Linked DNA regions of Neurospora crassa OR74A. The protein of the gene in region 1 purifies or fractionates together with the protein of each later gene. This does not show direct contact. Links are inferred from orthologs where the notes say so. Each region holds a gene or a part of one and is shown in the gene's direction. Other genes may lie near its edges. The genes, in order: prk-2 and NCU06039.

The links.
Region 2: the proteins of prk-2 (region 1) and NCU06039 purify together in Saccharomyces cerevisiae (affinity purification with mass spectrometry; 3 studies listed by BioGRID). This does not show direct contact. The link is inferred for Neurospora crassa OR74A from reciprocal best matches to the Saccharomyces cerevisiae genes YAK1 and YPL247C.

The regions. Positions count from the first base shown.
Region 1 is NC_026503.1:1,185,824-1,197,364, reverse strand, and holds prk-2 (protein kinase Yak1), read left to right. Parts: upstream 1-4,996; 5' UTR 4,997-5,258; coding exon 5,259-6,101; intron 6,102-6,159; coding exon 6,160-6,359; intron 6,360-6,413; coding exon 6,414-6,573; intron 6,574-6,632; coding exon 6,633-7,371; intron 7,372-7,423; coding exon 7,424-8,298; 3' UTR 8,299-8,726; downstream 8,727-11,541. Other genes in the region: NCU07871 (hypothetical protein), read right to left, coding at 9,043-11,535. UniProt on the Saccharomyces cerevisiae protein: Negative regulator of the cell cycle acting downstream of the cAMP-dependent protein kinase. Part of a glucose-sensing system involved in growth control in response to glucose availability. Phosphorylates POP2.
Region 2 is NC_026507.1:2,007,710-2,019,382, reverse strand, and holds NCU06039 (WD repeat protein), read left to right. Parts: upstream 1-6,010; 5' UTR 6,011-6,614; coding exon 6,615-7,929; intron 7,930-7,994; coding exon 7,995-8,458; 3' UTR 8,459-8,717; downstream 8,718-11,673. Other genes in the region: NCU17225 (hypothetical protein), read left to right, coding at 1,103-2,105, 2,279-2,316; NCU06037 (hypothetical protein), read right to left, coding at 2,726-3,095, 3,244-3,716; NCU17224 (hypothetical protein), read left to right, coding at 4,175-4,633; NCU06038 (ribosomal protein L36), read right to left, coding at 5,060-5,155, 5,280-5,558; NCU06040 (hypothetical protein), read right to left, coding at 9,394-10,327, 10,384-10,504, 10,573-10,753, 10,818-11,207.

The DNA.
Region 1 (11,541 bases):
ACTGGAAGTCATTTTGTTGGGAATTTGGGAGCCTGTCTTCTTTACTTCTCTGGTCTCATGTATCACTCACTGCTCTTCCTTCTTTTCTTTTATCTCTGACCTGTCAAGTTTCGAATGCGTTTTCTTTCTCGCGCTTTCTTCTCTATCTTCGTTTCTCTGAGTGATTCCCACGGGCCAATGGTTCTTTCTGCAAGTTCTTCTCCGTTTGGGTTTTGTGTAATTTCCTTCGGTTTTCTCTCCTCTTCTCTCAAGCTACGATCGAAACGTCTTATCTTACTCTACACTTCTACGTTTGCTAGGTGTTTCTCTCTCGTCTTCCTGATGATATGTTTCCAAAATCTTTCCAACGCTGGATACCAGATTTTCACAAAAGTTAAGTCAGTTTCGAGGTCTTTTACCAGAACACGTCACGACAAGATCTCTTCTTCCCTTTGGCGGTTCTCCAATTTCGTCTCCTTCAGCATTTCAATTCGATGTGTACGCAAGATTCAAGGCGGCATTTTTCTTCCGATATACCCATTGCGCGTTTCCTACCGTTGTATTTTCGTGGGCCTTTGGATGTTTCTTAAACAGATACCCATTTTCCACGTTCCGTTTTCCGGTACGCGATTTCATCTCACGTAGCATCATGTCCTTCAAAATGTACGTTATACCCTTGAAGGACTTAGTAAATGAGGAGGGTAGACTTGTATGAGTCTTTGTATAGAATTGGATGTCCAACAAGCCTCTAGATCGCCGTTTAAAACTTTTGGACTGGATCCAGATGACCTGACAAGATGTCGTTGGTAACCACCAGCGGGGATGATAAGCTTGTTGTGGGACGGAAGAAGGTGTTACGGAGATCGTTCGATCATGACAAGAATTAAGTCCCGTATGCAACGCGTGATAATTATGCAATAGGTGTATGGGACGAAAAGTGAAGGGCAAAGCCATCCCAAGCCTTTTAGGCACGTGGCTTCTGAATGTGCTGATAATGGTCCAGACAATTGATGTCCTGCTGAGCAAGCAGCTGTGGTTCAAGCCGTCTGGTCTTACGGTTCACCTTCAGGTGTAACCCTCTGCCCGTATCTGAGGCAAACATTTGAGAACTAATCGCTTAGTTACCTAAACACTCCTCCATGGAGCCAGACTAACAAGCTCGAAACCTGCGATTTGTTTACCTATTTCTGAGATATGCCACAGGATAGCTGGGCGCGTCGTCCATAACAAATTTGATGAGACCAATCCTCTGACCAGCCCTCTGGTCAGATAGATCAATCCGATACCACTTCTGATAATCATGAAAGGCCGTTGCAAAACTGTGATAGGGAATACGATAATTCGAAAAGACATCGGCCAGAGTCCTTTTGGCATGGTTCTATACAGGAATTACCTGGGAATCAAATTCAAAGGAGTTGTCAAGACGCTTCGGCTACGTAGTGAGAATATACCCAAGGTGTAATGTAATGTCCAAGGTTTCAACCAACAATCTTATCCAGGAACGAGGGCGCTTACATCCAGCCTTGAGAGCGATTGGGATGCAATTACATATGAGCGCTTATCAGGGTTAGGGTTGTCTCGTCACAGGTGAACAATGTCACATCCCAAATCATCATCCCTGGGCTTTTGGACAGCAACAAGTTGATGCCCAATCCCAATCGATCCCATGAACCGAACGAACCAAACCACCACCCGCACCCATGCTGATCTCACATGCCTTGCTAGTACTATGGTAGGTTGCAACTTACTCCGTGTTACACGCACTGCGCGAAATCCCCAATTTGACGGGAGTAAATGGTAAAAAACAAATCCCCCCCCCCCCCCCCCCCCCCCCAAAAATGTCAAGGGACTCTGACTGGGATATGTATGTTGGCTGGTCCGAGTACATAATATTATTTTGTCTTCACCATATGGTGGTTGATACAAATTGGTGATGCGTGTGAAACGAGACACACGGACCAGGATGGATATCATGCACTGAAAGTCGCGACATCCCCAAGGCTCGACGGTCTGGTCGGAGAGGCCAGAGGTAGAGGCAGAGAGGATATTGGAAGTCAGATTATGTAGCTACATAGTACCTAGGACTAGACTCAGTCAGACTCCCAGCCGTTGTCAGCTCGTTTCCAAAAGCGGTGCAGGCGTTTGGAAAGAGTCATTGGTCCACGCTGTCACTGACGACCCTCTGATATCCGCCATTTTTTTATTTTTTTTTTCATCTTTCCTGATGGTGTATGGTATTAGTAGCTTGCTGCAGTTGGTGGTGATGGCCGTCGGTGTGTTTAGAATTGGGACAGATAATGGAGTGCGTGGATGGGAAAAAGGGACGGATGGAAAGCAAAGTAAAGTAAAGCAATGGTATCTGGACACGGTTTGTTTGTTTGTCCGAGTAAGTAGTGAATGCAAGGAAGCATTGAAGCAGTCAAGAAAGATATGATCTCCCACCGACGACGATGATACATATGTACCGTCATCTTTCGTCGTGGTCGTGGCCAGGGAAATTTTACACTACATACATACGAGGAATAAGTCCGACAAAGGTGGGTTTGCATCCCCCAGGTCCTCAAGCCAACCTAAAACAAGCAATCACTCAACCCCCTGTCACTGCGTATGTAATCTCCTTTTAGCAGTACATATGGAATACCGCGGGGTCGTGGATCGTGGTGAGGGTGAAAGGTGAGGAGGAAGGAGCATAGGCGCTGAACGAGGGACTGCCTGGATTATGGTTGCTGATCGCCTGAACAGGATGTGGATATGGATGGGGATGGCCTCGTAAAATAACCCAACACATCGATGCGATCAGTTGCAAGGTAGGTGGGTGGATTTTGATTCGACTCTCAACTATCATATCGGTCAAAAAGGCATTTCAAAATAGGTTCGTTAGAAAGCTGCCTCTTTTCTTTCTTCGTATTGAGTACTGGTGGTGCGGAGTTGTGTGGTGTTGTTGTTGTTGTTGTTGCAGCTTGACGTTCAAGCTGGGATCGATTGATGATGTTGCTTCAGGTCAGTTCGGGTTTTTTTTTTTTTTTTTATGACCGCTTCGCCTGGATGGGCAGCGAGATGGGCTGCCCTGGCTGCTTGCAGCGTGCGTGGCCTGTCGAAACGCCACCTGCTGGAGACTGGGCAGGCACTCTTCGTTCAATCTCAAGGTCCTTTTAGTACTCCCCACTTTATCTGGATGTGTCTCAATGACGGGCATCATGAATGATCTCCGGTGGTTGTTTGCAGCTCCAACCGGACGACGAAAACGTACGCCAAGAGTTTTGTCCGATTACCACCAACTTGAAAATCATGAAGCTTCATAATATATTAGGACCCGAGATCTGCAAAGGGAGTAAGGGAAGAAACGTAACCAAAGAAGGGATGCGGTCGAGAAGAGAAAAGCCATGTCAAACACCAACCGTTGGCGCCAAAGGCGTTCATGGTCAGACCTTTTAGGTCCAGGTTGTTGGTTATGTATTGGTGAAGGTATTGGTGTTGGTGGCTATACAAATTAGCAGTACCGGCCTAACATACCGGACATTGCGGGCATAATATCAGATGTTTCACTAGACAACCGCTTGCGCTGAACTGCTCAGCCAGCTGCACGCCCACAACGATCCATCCTTCAACCTGGAAAGACACAAAAACAAAACTAAGTGCACATGAAGCGCAGATTCGAAATCATCAGGCCAGGTTAGGAACCGGCTGGCTTTCTGCACTGCATTTGGTGCATTTATTGGCAGAGGCTAAAGTTCCTACTCCTTAGAGACTGAAATTGAAGGTTCTCGACGCGGGAGTCTCAAGATCTACGTCGTCGTCGTCGTCGTTGTCAAAACTGGAGAGCAAGGGCTCCTCCACTTGACACAACATTGGCGGGCGGGGAGTCAGACTCTCACCACCCAATTCAACCCACCTGTGTTGTGTACCCTGTCTGGGCATACCTCACCATAACGTTGGGAACCCTTGAATAAATACGAAATCCACCGACTATCACGAGCAACCGGAACAGGAACCGCCTACGGATCGGTCTCGACGGAAGCCCCGTTGTTTCTGCACATGGTGCGAATGACTGCGATTTCCCTGCCGTACTCTGTGTACCTCTAGGTGTACAGCCTTGTTGCCCGGACGTGACTGCTTGGTCACTGCCTCGTCCTCATTCTCGTCCTCCTCCTCCAGGTCCTGCTGCTTTCTCTGACGTACTGTATTTCCCTTCTTCTTGATTACAGCTGGAGAAGCAACAAGCGACGGAGGCTCATTTAACTGGTGTCTCTTCCTCCTACCTGCGACCTACCTGGCCGACTGAACCCTGCCCGTAGGTCTGGCTAAAGACAGCCCGCCAACAGCCCCAAAACCTCTTCCCGGGCCGTCTCTGTTCTGCCCGTCCGTCCCAATCGTCCAACCGAACCGCGTCTAATCCACATCCACGAGACAGCCCACCACAGCTTTGTACTGCCCGAGCTGAAAGGAAAGATTTTGGCTACCAGGGATTACTTGGCATTCCTATAGGAGAGAGTAGGTTTTATTCGCAGCGCCTTGGCACCGCTTGGCCCGCTTTGCTCCTTGCGCTTTGCCCTCTCCGCCTCCCCGTACACAGGTTGTTGCAAGCAGAGAGCGGGTCCTCTCGACGGCACCAACAGCCCAGGACAGGGCACTCATCTGGCTACCTAAACTTTGAGCTGCCCCAACAGTACCAGTGGAGCCCAGAGGTAGTTACTTTAGGTACAGAGGCTACTACAGTCCAATGCTGGTTTGATTGTTAGCTTGGTACACCAGGCACTCCTACTGTACAATAATAAACATAGTATACTAGACAAAATCTATTTCGAATAGTCCTAAAGGTTAAATAGATAAATTAAAAGGTATTAGTTGGATTTAATTTGGCATTTTGAATGTGAAAGATGGCCTGCCCAAAGTAAGATTATACATTAGTTAGCTATGAAAATGCTTAGGAAAGTTGACACGAGGTCTCGAGCTAACAAACAAACCAGTACTGGACTGTACACTAGAGGTAGCAGAACCTAGGTAGCCACTGCCCACTGGTGCAGTCACTACCTCTAGTTCTAGTGCGCACCACCCAAGCAGGCAGTCCGCGGTCCGCACCTCCATCATCAGGCCCACACTTGTGACCTGCCAGCCAGCGACCCGAGTCCATCGTCTTCGAAAGCTTCAAACCCTCCCTCTCCTTCCCCCCTCTCGCGCCGACGACACCACCGGCCACCGCAACAGAATTCATTGCCAAACCAGACCCAGCAACAGCCCCGAGCCCGTCCCGCGAGCTGGCCTTCGCCCTGCCAGCAGCCATGGAGCAGCAATGGCAACCGTACTCTGACTCTGCCGCCAGCGGCTCGTCCAGGAGATACAACAACGGTTCCGGCCAAATGTCCATGTCCCCTCGAGACTACGCCAGCAACGGCCAGGTCCAGGCGCAGCAGCAGCCGCTGGCCGGATACAAGTATGATCCGTACCAGGCCGGTCTGAACCCAAGCGCGCAACCACAGTCCTCCTCCATTTCCCCAATGACGTCGTCCCAGTCGCGCGACGCCAACGGCGACGTCGCTATGCAGGATGCCCACGATCCATACTCATCCCAGAACCCTACCATCAAGTACCCCCTGAGGCCGCATCACTCTCTCTCCGGTGGTCGCCCCGCCAGCCTTAGTACGTCCCAAGAACCATCTGCTGCCGCGCAGCGATACTCGCCCATGGAGGCGCTCTCGCCTGCCTCCCAATACCCCAAGGGAAGCCAATTCTCCCCCGCCCAACGTCAATCCCCTACGCGACCGAACGAATATGCCCCGCCGCAATCACAACAGCAACAGCAGCCGCCGCAGCAGCAACAGCAACAGAGCCCCTACTACACCAGCCGTCAAGCATCCCAACAGCTTCCCCCCATCAACCCATACGCACCCGCTCAACACGACCACAGCTATCCAAACTCGGCAATCAGCTCTACCATGGACGGCTCTTATATGGACCCCAAGTCGCCGCCAAGGCGCATGAACTCGCAGTCGCAACAGATGCCCATGCCCGAAAGGACGCCAGTTCCCGAGTTTAGGAAAATACGAGGACCCCAGGACCTTCGACCAAAGATTAACAAGCAGCCGGCTCATCGACGAGCGAACCCGGAAGGCGGCTTTATCAGTGTATGTACAAGTTCGCGAGAGAAATAGCTTTGGGCAGCTTGCTAACGAACCACGGTAGCCCCTCCAAGCGCTAACAGTTCACCTCCCCGCCACCTACCGAATATGCAACCCCGGCTTCAAGTACGAGTCGTCTAGGAATCCTCGGCGCGTCCTTACCAAGCCTAGCAAGGGAGTGAAGAATGACGGCTATGACAACGAGGACAGCGATTATATCCTCTATGTGAATGACATCCTGGGCTCGGAGGAGGCTGGTCATAAGTAAGTTGCTGCCCACCACGAGTCGAGAAGCAGTCACTTACATATTTGTACCAGGAACCGCTACCTGATTCTCGATGTCCTTGGCCAGGGTACCTTCGGCCAGGTCGTAAAATGCCAAAACTTGAAGACGCAAGAAGTTGTTGCGGTCAAGGTCATCAAGAACCGAACAGCTTACTTCAACCAAAGCATGATGGAAGTGTCTGTTTTGGATTTGGTTCGTTTACCAGCATTGTTGACTTGATTGTTTGCGACACGCGCTAACCTCCTGCTCAGCTCAATACAAAGCTCGACAAAAACGACGATCACCATCTGTTGCGACTAAAGGATACATTTATCCATCGCCAACACTTGTGCTTGGTATTCGAGTTGCTTAGTGTCAACCTATACGAGCTGATCAAGCAAAACCAGTTCCGAGGCTTGAGCACGACACTGGTTCGCGTCTTTGCGCAGCAGCTGCTGAATGGGCTTTCTCTGCTCAACAAGGCAAGACTGATCCATTGCGACCTGAAACCCGAGAACATTCTCCTGAAAAACCTCGAGAGCCCGATCATCAAAATTATCGATTTCGGATCCGCTTGCGACGAACGGCAGACTGTCTATACGTACATTCAGTCCAGATTCTACCGATCTCCTGAAGTGTTACTTGGCTTGCCTTATTCTTCGGCTATTGATATGTGGTCTTTGGGATGCATTGTGGTTGAGCTTTTCTTGGGTCTTCCCCTCTTCCCCGGTTCTTCCGAGTACAACCAGGTGTCACGAATCGTCGAGATGCTGGGAAACCCTCCAAACTGGATGATCGAGATGGGCAAGCAGGCAGGAGAGTTCTTCGAGAAGAGGCAAGATGAGTTCGGCAGAAAAACCTACCACCTGAAGTCTATGGAGCAATACTCTCGGGAGCATGGCACGAAGGAACAACCTAGCAAGAAGTACTTCCAAGCCAACACACTACCCGAGATTATCAAGACGTACCCGATGCCGAGGAAGAACATGAAGCAGTCAGAGATTGACAGAGGTGAGTCGAGCGCATTCGGTGTGTTCGGCTATAAAAGCTGACCTTGTCCTAGAAATGAACAACCGTATCGCTTTCATCGATTTTGTCAGGGGTCTGCTGACGATCAATCCCTTGGAACGATGGTCGCCTCAACAAGCCAAGCTACATCCTTTCATCACCCAATCGAAGTTTACTGGACCGTTTGTACCGCCCATGAACCTCAAGTCAAGTTCGCTCAACAGATCACCAGCCCCGGGAACTCAACAGCAGATACAGGCCGAGGCATTCAGCAAGCAAAAGGCGCAACAAGCGCAAGCCAACGCCATTGCGGCAAACCAGGCCCAAAACCCTTACGGGTCGATGGCCACTGGGCAGCAATATCCCCAGCAGACCCACACGCAACCTCAGCCCTTGTATTCCAACAACAACATTTACGCTCCTGGTGGCAGCAGCAGTCACGCTAGCGCGCCTCCACCCTACGGCTCTCAGCAGGGCGCATACCCCCAACAAGGAATGCCCCAACAACAGCAGCCGCAGGTACCGCAAGTACAGATGCCTCCAGCGAACTACGCGGGCGTGTCCCAGTCAAATCTGTACGCCCAGCAACAGGCGGCGGCGGCGGCGCGCCAGAGGCAACGGTCCTCGACAATGGAGCAACAGCAAAGTGGTATTCCTGTGTCCATCCAGCGCGTCGCGAGCCATCTTGATCCCACCCAGCCAATTCGTCTGCAACCGAGCCCGGCCTACTACCCACCGCCACCAGACGGTCTCATGGGAATGGACTCGCAGCCCAGCCAAAGGATGCCGAGGAGGGGAAGCCGTGCTCAGGCGTCTGGACGGGGCCAGGGCAACAACCGCGACTTCATCAGGAACTTGGAGGAGAGGACGTTGGAGGAAGGGTTTATGGGCGGGAACGGTGGAGGTCAGGGTCAAAGTCAATGGCATTGAGCATAAATTGCTGGACCAGGGAAGGTGGATTGTGGTTGGTAGGGAAGCGGGCTTTTCGTTGTGGTTGTTGTACCATTCAGTTTGTACTCACAGATACGATACCTCTTCTTCTTTTTCTCTTTACCGAAAAAATTGTCATTACGCATCGTCACTTTTGTTGGGAGGGCTGGTTTTGTTGCCGAGCGGAATCGAACGGGGGAAGGGGGAAGAGAGAATCGGTGCAGAGTGAAGAAAGTCAGGGAGCAGGCAGATGGCAGCAGAGCAGGATTTATAGAAAGAAGTAACGATAGTATGATATGCTGCACGAAGGGTATCTTCTCTTGATGATGCTGATATGTGCTTCATGCATTTGTTCGAAAAGGAATCTCCAAGGGAGCGAGTTCAGGGGTAGGCATCCTGCCTGCATTATTATAGAACTCTCAAGCACCAACTGTTGATGTTGTTATCCTACTTACCTTTGTGCGGTTCAGTGTGTTTTCGCCGGCGAGGTTTTCTCTTGTAGTATAGTTATTTACCATTGGTCCCATGGAGCTCAGACAGATACTCCCACGAGAAAAAGGGAAAAGGGGGAGAATATGAAGAACATACTGTATTCAACCATAGAGACACACATATGTCCAACAAGACCAATTGAGGTATCAAAAAAAGTGTATTTATATATACAGTAAATGATCATCTGCCGGGCAATCATCCGGAACCAAACTAACTTACAGCCTTATCTAACAAGAACCTATCCACCATTCATCACCAGCTGGGTTTCCTCCCGCTGCTGCCCCACCGATCCTGCTGGCTGTCCCTATCCCATTTCCCTCCTTGACTCTCTCTCGACCATGACGAGCTGTTATTACTCGTTTGCTGGTACCCGTACTTGGAACTGCTCTTCTCGTCCCTCCGCAACTCGTTCCTCAAACTCCTCGTCTTGTCTCTGGGATAACGACTTTCCGTAATATCTTCCCACTCTTCCTCTTCCTCATCCTCTTCGTTCTCCTCTTCTGCCTCTTTGGGCCGTTGTGCCTGCTCCGCCTTCCTCTTCTCATTCGCAGCAACCGCCTCCTCCTTCTTCTTGTTAAGATTCCTCTCAAACTCGTTAGGCTTCGGCTGGCCAAACTCATATTCTTCCCCGGCATTACTAGCCCCCTTCTTCTCCGCTTCTCGCTTCTTCAGGCCCGCCTCCCCATACCGCTCCACCATCTTCTCTCTCCACCTACCCATCATGTCCCCGTCCTTGGCCACATACCGCTCCACCATGTTCTGCAAAATCACCCTCCGTCGCTTCAGCACTTTGAGGATTTCGTCATCGGCACACATGCTATTCAACATGACCTTGTCCATGGCACTGATCATCCGGCGAGCGGTGACCACGCACTCGGACATGTGCGCCCGCACAGCCTTCCACGCGTCTTCCGGGCTCTGCGCCTGCACACGACTGCCAATCGGGTACGAGTATTGGTTGACCATGATCCGATACGGCTGCCACATCTTGTCGAGGGCGAGTATGATTTGCTTGCCCATTGCCTGGCGGGACCCCAGGGGGTCGGTCTCGGCCATCTTCTTGATGTGGCGGAAATTTCCTTGGGCGGATTGCAAAAACAGGCGCATGGCGATGGCGTCCGGGTAGCGGGTCTTCTTGGTCATCACGTCGAAAATGGTGCAGGCGTGCGGAGAAAAGGCGTGCGGGTTTAGTTCGTCGCGGATGCAGGTCGTGAAGGCCGTCTTGAGGATCATGGGCGTGATGAACTCGGCAGGCATGGACTGGAGGACTGCCGCGGTGGCGGCGGAGCCACGACCGATTTGGAGGACGCGCAAGTAGCGGAAGTAGTTGTCCTTGTCTGGCTTGATGGAGTAGGGTGTGGAGGTGAGCAGGTCCCAGTACTTTTGGGCGAGCGAGGTGCGGCGCGTGTTGGAGAGGACGGAGAGGATCAGGGAGAGGGTGTTGTTGCCTGGTTTGGCGTAGAGGCTGGGACTGTGGGTGACGGATTTGGGTTTCTTATCGAACTTGGGCTTGGTTTCGATAGGCTGGACGGTGGGTGTGGTTGAACCAGATGTGGTGGTTTTCGTTGGTGTCGTTTCTGGTGCTTCTGAGGCGGTGGCTTCTGGAGAGGCTGCTTCAGATGAGACCACTGGCGTGGTGGTTATGTCTACGGCCTTAGCGGTCACTTGGGCAGCTGCCTTCTCGCCAGCATGGAATCGCGGGAGCTGCATGGATGAGGACAGAAGCTCAAAAACTCTTTCGTTGTCTTCCTTGGTACCCAAAGTCAGGAGCCTTCCAAAGGAACAAACCAATTCCTCGTCGATCATGAGGTTGGCCTTCTTCCATTGACGCTGTACATCCTCCCATATTTGCAAGCCCCTGTTGATGGCCTCTTGTTTCTCCCGGTTGATATCTTCTTGGTCGCGCTGCATGGGATCCCGATCGAGTGGCAGTCGTGGGTTGAATTGGGCCCGAAGGGCATTGAAGATGATTGTATAGGTCAGGTTGTCGGGCTTGCGCGTGCTTTCGTTGGCTGTTTGTACTGTCGTGAACATGCTGTCCAAATCGCCGGCGCGGGCACATGTCTCGAGGACAGCGTTAAGATGAATTGTGGTTGGCTTCACGCGCTCATTCCTGAGCAAGCTGTGGTAGATCTTGACGGCTTCTGCAACTGCCTGCTTGGGGTGCTCGCTCATGGCGCAGCCTCGGAAGATGATGGTGTAAGTCCTGGCATCTGGAACCTGGGCGCGCTTCTTCATCTCGTTGTAGATCTTGATGGCGGCAGACAGACGCTTGTTCTTCATGTGGTAGTCGATCAGATGGTTCCACGAGACTTGGACCTTTGCGTTCTTGCTGGCCTTGCGGGTGAGAACAAGGGCCTCTTCATATTTTCCTTTGTCAAGGGTCAACTTGACCTGCTTCTCGATGTGGAAGGGATCCTTGAAGTGCTTTAGTTGTAAAGCCGCACTGCGCTCCAGCTTCTTCCGCTGCTCGTCGCTCAGGTCCCTCTTCTTCCTCTTCCCTTCCGACCCGTCTCCATCTTCTTCCCCTTCCGGCGCTTCGAGATCGAGGGTAACGGAGGGATCGGCGGCAGTCTTTGGCTTGAGGGCGGGCAAGTGGTAGGATCGTATGGTGGTCGTGGACTGGCTTGGTGTAAGTGCGCCTAACCTTGGAAGGGCCAGACGAGATCCAACTGCAGGCGCATTTATCCTAGCCAAAGCTCCAGGAGCCAGGCCTTTCCGCAGACAAGCCCGGCACACAAACATGGTTTG
Region 2 (11,673 bases), on another chromosome or scaffold:
TTGTGTTCTGATGTGACCCTTTGTACGAGGGTAACGAGACCACTCTACATCCTTGATCGCGAGCGTTTGATTATTGGAGTGACGGGTTAATATCTGTTGAGGCGATCGCGCATGGCCTAGAGCGGTGTGTCCGTCCTGTTGCGTACTTTGACGACTGGGCTAGGGCCATCAAAAATCAATAGGTATGTGCGTGAACATGCCAAATACAAGTTGAGAGGGTCGAAGCTGAATTGTTACGCCGAGGACATGAAGATGGCAGCAATGACGAAAAGATAGGGTCTCGGTCGCTCTTGGCTCATCCTTGCAGTGGTCTCGGTCTTTTTCTTCAACCTGCGCAAGTCACTGCAATTTTCCAGCTGACTATGAGCGAGTGAAAGGAAGACATATGATGTCGATGAGCTTAGAAATGGAGCGTTGGTCAGAGGGAAGGTTGACAAAGCAAAGCACAAGCCACACCTCATGAACTGGAAGACAGTAACTACTAATTCGCCAAACTCGGATATCCCTTCTGGGCTTCTTAAGGAGCATCGTATACCTTTTTATGCCTTGTCGTAACGCCAGGCTATCTGCGCGAGGCAAGCCTGCCATGAGGTTGGCACAAAATTGACACAACGGATTTTGGTACGAGTTCGAGTGTATCAGACAAACGCAGGATCCGGTGAAGTTGCACCTGGTGAGCGACGACTTCCTTTTGCACGCCACCGGCGGCTTCTTGAGAAACCTTACTGATGAACCGCAGCTGCCACGCGATGCCGCCAGGTTTGGCTTCGAACTGAAAGGTGCTCCCCAATACTAACGGCTGCGTCAGGATTAGGAACAGAATGTCGGGGGTGAGCTGAAGGGCTGCACCATGGACTTCGCTTACACGTCTCTGTCACGGGGGAAAGAAAATCATATTATTAAATATCCTAATACCTCGTCGTTTATAACCAAGGTGCTTCGACTTTGCCAAATCCCCATTCCTCGTCTACTCTTTACCCTTCTTATTGTTCTTGTTAATCACTACCGTAGTCCTCATCTCAGAACCCCGGGCCAGAAGAAGGACTACCGTCGGCAGCCAAATATACAAGTCATTCTTGCAATTTTAGGAGAATCAATCGAAATGATAGAGGGAACTTTTGCTGTCAACGTTCATGACTCTCACCTCGGCCTTTTACGCCTCTGCCTCAGGGCCATTGGCTGTTCCTTTGCGCTTCCTGTCGCCTTGGCTGTGCTCTGCAAGAAGGCTTTGTTCGCATCACTGGAGATGATCTTCCATGTTCTTATCCGACTCCACTGCCTCTTTTCTGCCCGAGCCAGTCAACACCTGGCCATTGAGATTCAAAAGCAGGTTCATCAGTATGCTAGCCCGAAGAGCTCTACAGACAGCCTTCCTTCGCTCATCTCACCCGGTTCGTTGACATACAGCTCACACATCGGCGACCTTGACCTCGATCCCAACAACGACGACGACAATGAGCTCCCTTCGCTTCCTTATATCCCTCCGACACCCGAGGATACCAAGCGATGGGTCGAACTCTCTGCTGAAGCCCGTCACAGGGTAGCAAATGTGCAGCATGACGGTTTGAACTGGATGTCATGGAGTCCGCCCCCGAGTCCCCGTTTGCCGTCGCGTGATCTGCCAAAGGGTATCCCGGAGTGGAGGGAGGAATGGAGCGACTTCGACTTGCCTCCGAATCCTCTAGACATCCCGACGTCGGAGAGATTGAGACGATGGTGGGGTGAAGCTACTGAAGAGGACCGCGCCCGGATCAATCGTATCAGCACTGACGGGTTGAACTGGCGGACGTGGGACCCTCCTTCCCAACCCTCCTGTGACGGAGAGCCAGTCGTTTGGTCTGGGATTGGCCCTTGGGTTTCTGGAAATGGCGACGATGGCCTTCCATACGGAACATGTGCGACTGGTAACATCGAACAGACGTTGCACAAGCCGACAGTGGACCGGCAGTCACATGCACAACGACACCCTCAGAATGGATTGCCATCTTGGGAAGAGCTCCCATCCTCGCATGAAGTGCTTGAGTTTGCCGTTTCGGATACAGTTCACGCAAACTTGTTGCTGGTTGTTGCACTCACCTCGGCAGCAGAGCAATCTCAGGACGACAGTAAGGCAAGTTTTTGTCAAGCATCGTACAAAGAAATAGAGCGGATGTCACACAAGGGATGACCTGGATATATACGGATGGGCCATGTTGGTTTTTGTGGGCTCCTCGTCTGGTTGGTGAATTGACGACGGTTTCGGTTTTTGGATTGGATCAACATGGACGTGAATTTTTAGACCTCTCTTCGAAGCGAAACTTGGGACAGGTCACGTAAACGTGAGTATTACTCGTGCTTGGTTTGCACAGCAAGGCGCTCATTGCCGTGAGGAGATATTGCTAACGTATCGCTACGTCTTTAGGAACGACAAATTGACTTCGACTCCCATCTATGTGGCTGTTGGACGTGGAATGTTGATACCGGCTTGGAATATGCTGCATTGAAATTTGATGATGTTTGGCTGCCTCGAGCATTGCGAGACGATTTCAGGCGCATGACAATGACTTTACACGACTGTCGCAGCGTGCATGCTTCAAGGCTACGGCCTGCAGAGAAAAACGTCACAAGAGAAGCGAATTAGTATCATTGTATATATTTTCTTAACGTGACATAGGGGCCTACATCAGTCTAGACCACAAAACCACTGTTTTTCAGGAGTCGATATCTCCACAAACACAATATTGGCCTATGATTTCCCGTCGGAAGATGTGGATGGCTCAAGATCTGGTCTTTCGTCTTTATGGTTTTTATCTTTAGGCGAGTGATACCCAAATGCGTCGGTCTGGAATCTCTTCCGTTCAGACGGCTTGTCCTTCGTGAGCGGTGCGGAACGAACAACGGGTTTACTCATGATAACATAATCCGGCATCACTACCTTCCCTGACCGGAACTTTCTTGGTCCAGGTGAGATGTCATCCGTCCCAAACCCGTGCCTTTTGTAAAAGCCAAGGGCGCGTTTGTTGGATAGGAAACATGTCAACATCACTTTTGTGATCGGAGGCAGGTTAGTGGCCACAGTCACATGGAATCCCATCAACAGTGAACCGAGTCCGGAGCTGTGGCAGAGAAGTAGTCAGTGAGAGAACTGGTTAGTGTAGAATTACATACATGGCTATTTGGCCATATTTGCACACGATGGACCATGACACGGCGCGTGATGGAGGAATGAAAATTTTAATTATTATCGTTTTTTTGGCTTCTTACCCCTGTAACTCCGGCTTGAGATGAATTTCGTAGCAGTAGACGACCGGCTGACCTTCTTCATAGGTAGGCATCAAGGACGTGAAAGCACGTATAGAACCGGACGAGCCGTCTTTGACCAGGACGTAACGAAGATCGGGCGATCTCATTTCTTCCATCTTCTTCCTGGGTTGCCATTTATCTTTGGAGTTTTGATAGTCATCGTAGCTAGTCTCCTTGATCAGGTCGAAGCATGCTTTGAGTTCCTCCTCGCTGAGCTTCCCGGACTGGACCAAGCTAATGGTGTACTTGGTGCCGGTTTTGGGATGCGACCATTCGGTGGTCCAGGGTTTTGGTGGTAGTTGCGCTGGCGATGAGGGGTGTAGTGTTGAGGATGTTACGGATGGTTGGAGATAGTTGGCGATGAACTCTTTGTCTGTTTGGCGATTTGCCCTCTCGATGGGGCTCGTCGGCGCCCGTTGGCGTTTTGGTGCCATTGGCGTATGGGTGGTGGGATTGGATGAAGTCTGATGTCGCGTTGAAGTTGAGGTTGACGGCGTGGAACCCGAATGCTTACACAGTAGTTTCTATAGCAAGCAGTTGTAAATGACGGAAATCCTTTGCATCCTCGATTTCCACTTCCCGTCCAGGACCGCAGCACCACATAAAGCAACCGATATCAACATACAAAGGGGAGGTTAAAGCCACTTCTATTCTACGTGATGCCTCATCACACAAAGGTACTTTGTATCTGCTGCAGGGCCTTTCCTATTGAAGCATAGTGTGCATAAGTATCTTACCTCAACTTTGCTACATACCACACACTTCGATGCCAAGCCTGATCTGCTTGCTCCCTTCACTCATCCAAAGGAGTATTCTAATCAGCAAAGCTCGGGGTATGAATCAACCAATCTCATCACAGACACAAACTTCACCCTCATAACACCCCATTTCCATGAACCACTCAGCACCACTTGTACGGTGCTTGCCAGCTCTGCGGCTTTGCATTCGGGAATATGCAAGCCGCCCGCGGCCTCGTCTGGGGAACACACTGAGTTTGGAACATGTAAGTCGCTCCCACTCATCTCGTAATGAGGATGAGTTTTCCAATCTACCGTCTCTACTTAGTTTCTCCAAAGAGCCCGAGTTTTGGCCTTGTACCGCACCATCATGCGGGCGACCCGCCGGATTCCGGACCCGGCCACGCGTGCCGAGACGAGAAGGATGGCCCGCGCCGAGTTTGAGAGAAACCGCCATGTCACTGACCTTGTTCGTATTCCTCCTTGTCCGATTTCTCAATTTTGCTTGCGTCCCTTTTGCTACTGACACTGGCCTGTCTCACTCACAAGGACCACATTCGCTATCTGCTCTCGACAGGCAAGACAGAATGGGAAAATATGGAGAGGTATATTGATGGTCTGTAACTGTCGAAGAGACCATATCTCGCCTCGGCCTTCACCCACCGAAGAACCGTTCTCTTGTTCATGGGTCGCATTCCTTGTCATTTGGCTGAGGCCGTACGCGCTGGTATCATCCACACGACCAGACCGTTTCTGGGTTCGGTTTATCCCAATCTCGTTGCTGAATCGTCATGACGGGCCATCCCTTATGCTGGGCGACAAGAAAAAAAGGCCCGTTAAATGCCAGGTCTGATATACACGTCTCCGTATCGGCATGCGAGTCGGCGCTCGTTGTTCAAGATGGTCCTTTCGCCTAACGTATCGTACAGCCCAATCCTTCTATGTAGACCCGAAAATAAAACCACAAGACCAAGACCGTTGTTGAGCGCTCGTTGTACACACCATGTGCCACTCCACTGTCGATATCGTCATCGGCATGTTCACCGGTAGCCCTGGCGCTGCTTGTGTCTGGGATTCGCAGGGCAAATGATGTAGAGGTAGCCGTTTTGCCTCTTGTTGGCCTTGCGACGCACGACCTGTATAGATGTCGGGTTGACGGATCAGTCCGGGTCCCTACCTAAAACCTCCACACTCGCTGGCTTCCCAAGATATCTGAAGGGCCAGATATAAATATACATATATATATGCTGTGCTTCTCACCTTGCAATGCTCGCATCGCTTCTTGATAGCGGAGTGAACCTTCATGCCCCTCGATTGCTGCTTCGACTGCAGGCCGTTCTTGGCGCTTTGGCACACGGCGACGGGTCTGTTATGGGAGCACATGGGCGTGCAAATGTGGCGGGAGAGGAGGCCCTGAGAGAGGCATCGTGTCTGGTGTGTCGAGACAACGGTCTTGGTGGTGTTGACGGCAGTCGCGCGAGGAGCGGCGAGGGAAAGCGCGCGCATCGAGGATGCGAGCGACCGGAAGAGGTTCGACATGGTGACTGGTTGGTAATGTCGAGAGCGGTAGCCTGTAGTCGAAAGTAAGCCTTCCTGCCTGCCCGCCGTTGTTAGGTTGAATATTGACGCCGTCGAGGTGCTCGTCGCTGGGGTCGCTGGGGCGCGCGAAATCGAATTGTCTGCCGGCCCGTCAATCGACAGTGTGGGGTTTGATCAAGCAACGTTATGCGGCTTTCGTTCCGTCGGCTGCTTAAAGCGTATAAATTCCTAAACGCTTGCACCGTAAGATCTTATGTCTCTTTCGATGCAACTAAACGGGCTAAAACACACCAAAACTACCGCCAAGTACTTTCGATATGCACAGCTTACTTGCTAGTACTTGAAGTAGAGGACCAATTGAAGAGAGTTGCAGTTATTGAGTAGCTAAGCTATGTCTACACTAGTACCTTGTCCCCCGCAACCTTCACAGGGGGGCCGCTCTTCTTGACGCTGGGAGCCCGCTGTAAACCCGCCATTGATGTCGTCTCTCCAAAGTGGAAGTACACCCAACCTTCCCATCTCGTCTTCCTCCCACCTTCTTCTGCCACTTTCACGGTGACGAAACAAGCCGACAGCGAGGTGATTGTCACGGAGCTGCCGATACGGACCAGAACTGAGGCTTACCTACCTACCTCTCTCCGCCCTTCGGATATCCATACTCGTTGTGTCACTCTCTTGTGCTCTCGGTAACATCCCCGTCCTCGTCAGGCGCCCGTTCGGCTCGCACCATCACCTTCAACACCACCACCACACCGTAAACCAATTCCACCATCTCGGCGACCTTGGAAACAGCGCCCTTAAGCTCGCCCCGCCGCCCGCTTCTGCGCCATATCTTACCTATACATGAACAAGCCTCCAGCAATACCAGTCCATAACCTAATATCAAGCAGCGCCGCGCCCTGGCACTTCCCTTCTTGCCCTTTAGTCGCATCCCGCCGCTAGCGTCCACTCGAGCCAACGACCTAGGCGCCTCGCCTCCCGAACACAATCCTCAAGACCGCGACTCTTCAAGATCCTTCGTCCAAGATCTTCGTGTTGCCGACTGGCATTGGCACAATGAACCAGCAGTCACAGCAATATCAGCCGGCGCGCCGACCGAGTGCCTATGCCTCCCACGGCGACGAGCTTCACATGTCGGCACATCAGGCCCACTTGTCGTCGCCCCGCGAGTACGCGTCCTCCGGCGCACCACATATCAAGCTCGAGCAGATGCCCTCGAGCCCCCCCAACATGCAGAGCTATCAAAGCGCTGGTGCCGTACCCAATGTTCTGCAGCCCGGAGGCATGTCGTCTCGTCCGCCCGTCATGCAGTCCAACACGGCTCCCACTCTCCCCACGATGCAGCAGTCGGCCGACTACAAGTCCCACGGCTATGAGCGCTCCAGCCCTGCTACCCTGGCCTCAAATTCCTATGACGGCGGCAACTCGCCCTATTCCGCCTACAACCCGACGCCTCCAGGTGGCAGCTCTTCGTCGCAATACATGTCTCCCGCAAGCACCAACAAGTACGCGGCCGCTTCGTCATCTCGCAACGTCTCCAACACCCCGCTGGGACTGTCAGATATCCGGCCTCGGGCCGATTCCACCCTCTCTGATGGCATGCTGCCCGGTAGCCAGGCCTACGAATTGGCCAATCCCCAGTCTCGCACCAGCAACTACATGGCCCCTTGGGCTACGTACTCGTTCGACTGGTGTAAGTGGCGTCCCAGCGCAAACAGTGCCGGGAAATTGGCCATTGGCAGCTACTTGGAGGATGGCCACAACTATATCCAGATCTTGGAGGCCAATTTGACGCAGACACCACCCGATGTATACGTCCCGGGCACCTCCAAGTACTCCATGGACTTCACCCGCACCGCCGAGGCCACACACTCATACCCCGTAACGCGCCTGTTGTGGGAACCTCCTTCATCCCAGAAACAATCCACAGACCTGCTGGCTACCTCAGGGGACCATTTGCGGCTGTGGTCACTTCCAGCTGACCCCGTGGTCCCCACCAGTGGCTCTTCGATCACTTCGAGAAGCGGCCGTGACGCCCCCATCACCAAGCTTACTCCCCTAGCCCTCTTGTCCAACTCCAAGACGCCCGATCATACAGCTCCTCTGACCTCGCTCGACTGGAATACCGTTCAGCCTAGCTTAATCATCACATCGAGTATCGACACTACGTGTACCATCTGGGATATCCCATCGTTGACGGCCAAGACTCAGCTTATCGCCCACGATAAGGAGGTGTACGACGTTCGCTTCTGCGCAAACAGTGTAGATGTGTTTGTAAGCTGTGGCCAGGACGGCAGTGTGCGCATGTTCGATCTCCGGAGCCTTGAGCACAGTACTATCATTTACGAGCCCACAGGCAAGGAAGAGCGTGGTAAGTGTCACTTGTCGGCTTTCCGTTGGTCCCTATCTTTACAACAAACTGACCCATATATTTAGATGCCAATGGCGGCCGGATCAGTCCTACGCTGGCTCAGCAAACCATGTCGCACCCCCCACCCCTCCTGCGACTGGCCACGTCTCCGCATGACCAACATCTACTCGCAACTTTTGCGATGGATTCCAATGTAATCAGGATACTCGACGTTCGCCAACCAGGGCAGGCGTTGCTGGAGCTTCGGGGCCATGGGGGTTCCTTAAACTGCATTGAGTGGTCGCCCACCCGGAGAGGCACGCTTGCTTCGGGTGGTGACGACTGCCAGGTGCTCATTTGGGACTTGCTCAACCAGCCCTCCGGGTTGACCCCGGCAGGCCAGCCTGATAACGTGAGGAGTCCTGTGGCTAGTTGGCAGTGTGACTACGAGGTCGGGAACCTTGGATGGGTTCCTCCAATGGGCAATGGCGAGTATGGCGATTGGTTGGGAGTCAGCGCAGGGCGCGGTGTTTGGGGTGTTCGGTTCTAGTACGCCGATGTAAATCGAGATGGTTCCCGCTCGCGAGAACAGATACCAACCCAGGGTAGAAGGATGGGATGGGTGCATAAAATTCTTTGCGATGGAGAGCACTGTTAATCACGTTTCATACAGCCAGGCGTTTTGTTTTTCCGGGGAGGGGAAGGAAGGGGTGGGTGGGTGGGTGGGTGGAATATCCTATCGCGTAGAAGGTCATACTCGAAAAGGCACAATAAAACAGCGATTCGGCCTAGTCCGACTGCTCGTTATCACTCGACATTATCACTCGATACTGGAAGCGCCACATGAAACTAGTAAGGATTCTGTCATTCACCTCTTCATGGAACATTGGCTGGTACAGAGGAAAAAATAAAGGGAAAAAAAAACCGACAATGACCAGGAACGTGAGAGGTGTGAAAGCCACGCCATATTTAGCTACTCACCTACATCATTCCAGGGCATATTTCACGCATTGCGGAGTTTCTTACTCAGTGGATTTATTCGAGACACAAGCCACACTGGTGAATTTGTACGGAGCAGCCCCAAGGAAAATCCGTGTGCTTCTCCTGGAAACTTAATATGGGCTGAAGTTGTTCAACGGCCGGATATTCCCAATCTTCAGCAGCAGTATTCGCCCGGCAAGAATGGTCATCAAGGGTTAGACTTATGTACGTCGAGCCTTCTCTGCTTGAGGAAGACAGCCAGCACAAGTGCAGTGACCGAGCAGGCAAACGAGAACCCTAAGCAATGGTAACAGTGATCAGCAGTCCGTGCCGTAGAGACTTGCCAGAAAGAGACGCGAGAAAGGGAGTGAAGAGGGAGACTGACCGTGACTCCACCATAGACCGTCAATATACGACTGGACAACAGCATCCCTGACCTTATCGATTGCGCCGTCGATAAAGTCAACATCAGAAACCGCCTTCGATATGACCTATGGCTCCAAGTTAGCCTTGAGCCATTCCGCACAGCGAAAGACATAGCGACAAGCACAGGGTCAGGGCACAAACCTTGGCTACCTCAACGTTGTCATATCCTAGCTTCAACAGCCGAATCTCAAGGTTTCTTCGAAGCACGGTCTGCATAATCGTGTTCGCAGCCGGCAACCCAATCGTCATCCATACCGTTTGCATTAAATACATGAACGACACAGCAGGCGCCATGTGAGCCGGGTCAATGACCACCTGAAGCGAAATGAACAGCGCGCTGTTCGTGACCCCCATGCCAAAGCCTCCGGGGAAGATATACAGCGATTCGAACCAAGAGTTGGTGTTGCCGTGCCACCTCAGCATTAGGAGAAGATAGCCGATGGAGGAGCAGGTCACGGCCCAAATGACGAGGGACTTGTACCGTCCTGAGCGCTTGATGGCGGAACCGGAGATGATGCCGCCGATAGCGTTGCCCATAACGGCAGGGACGAGGTGCGCGCCCGCGACGGTGGCGGACGGCCGCGGCGTGGATGTCACTTGGAAGTAGAGGGGGACAGTGAACATGAGTCCCAACTGGGCGGCGGTTTGGAGTCCCAGGATCAAGAACGAAAGGATGGCGTCTTTGCTGTGGAAAATCTCCAGCGGCAGGATTGGCTCGGCCTGTCGCCTTTCTACTGCAATGAACAAGACGAGAAGGATAACGCTGGCACCGAGATAGACGAAAATGAGCGGGTGGGACCAGGGGATCTTGACGCCGCCGAGCTCTATGGGGAGAAGCAGGGCCAGCACAAGGGCCGCGAAAATGAACGAGCCCTTGAAGTCGATACGGCTGAACTTGCTCTTCAACTGGGTGGTGTCATCTGTCTCGTCTAGCGTGCCGGTGTGGCTGGGTAAATATGCTGAGCAAAGAATGATGGCGAGGGTTATGAGTGGCACTTGAACGCGGAACGACCTGAGCGTACTGGCGTCAGCTGGTTTCTACTATACTCGGCAGCAGAAGAGGCTTACCATCGCCATCCGACGACATCTGCCAGGCAACCTCCTAAAGATCCGCCAATGCTTCGGCCAAGGGTAGCTACGAGATTGACATACGCTCTCCACTGAGCAACTTCTCGCAGAGGAAGCAGATCTAAGGGGCAACTGGCTGTTAGTCGTCGCTGCAAACACTCTATCAGTTCATGTCAAAGCCATGCTTACCTGTGATGAGAACGGACACGAGTGCGGACATGCCAGAGGCTCCAGCACCGGATACAATTCGGCCCAGGACGACCTGCGACATTGTCTGGCCCATACCGACAATCGCACAGCCAACCATGAACATGGTATACGCGATTATCACCATCCTCTTGCGCCCATAGATGTCACTTAACTTGCCGTACTGTCCAGAGGCGGAGTAGTCAGCATACTCCCCCAAGGCTGTGTCATTCGATGATATTCCTCACCAAAGTCTGCGTGGCCGCCCCAGCTAGAGAGAAACTGATAATGAGCCAGCTAGAGTCTTTTAAGGCCTTGAACTCGGACGCAATAATTGCATGTGTTGCCATGAGAATGGACGTATCTGTCTGTGCGACGAAGATGCCTAACAGCATGACAGATATGATCTTGATGACATTCACGTGGGCGCTCTGCTTCAACGACTCGGTTTCGTCGCTTCCTAGACTCTGTTCCTCATCTCCCTCGGGAACTGGCTTGATAAATCGATTATAGATACCTTCCTCAGAAATACTGCGATAGGCGTGATAGAGGTAGTCGGAGCTGGGCTGCGCAGTGTCCCTCAAAAGAGGCTCTCGTTCTGTTTCTAAAGACGGCTGGTCCCCATGGCGTTGAACCATCTTTGCCAGTTCTTAAGCAAGAGCGTTTCAGGCCCGATGGGAATTCTGGGCCAATATAAGTACTTGTCCCCTCAAGATATCATTATGGAACATACCTTGAGATCATGGAATGCGCAAGATCACCTAAATCTAAACTCGAACTCGGAAACGCGTTCGAGGAAATACTCCCTTTTCTAAGAACTACCTGAGTGTCATCCCCACCTCTAGAGATTCATTCCGAACACGGAGGCCGACAACTCCAGAATCAGCTTATCCCCGAGATACCCTGCGGTACATGAAAGGCCGAGATAATCACGACATAAGTGTCTGGATTTCGTTAGACGGGCCCTTGTATTGCGAACAAGATGCTACCTTCCCACAAAATCGGTTGCAGAAACGACAAACATGAGCAAATGAGCATAGAGATAAATCGCACCATCTCGTAGTTTGACATTGGCTGCGGAACAGAGTTGCCATGGAATCTCTT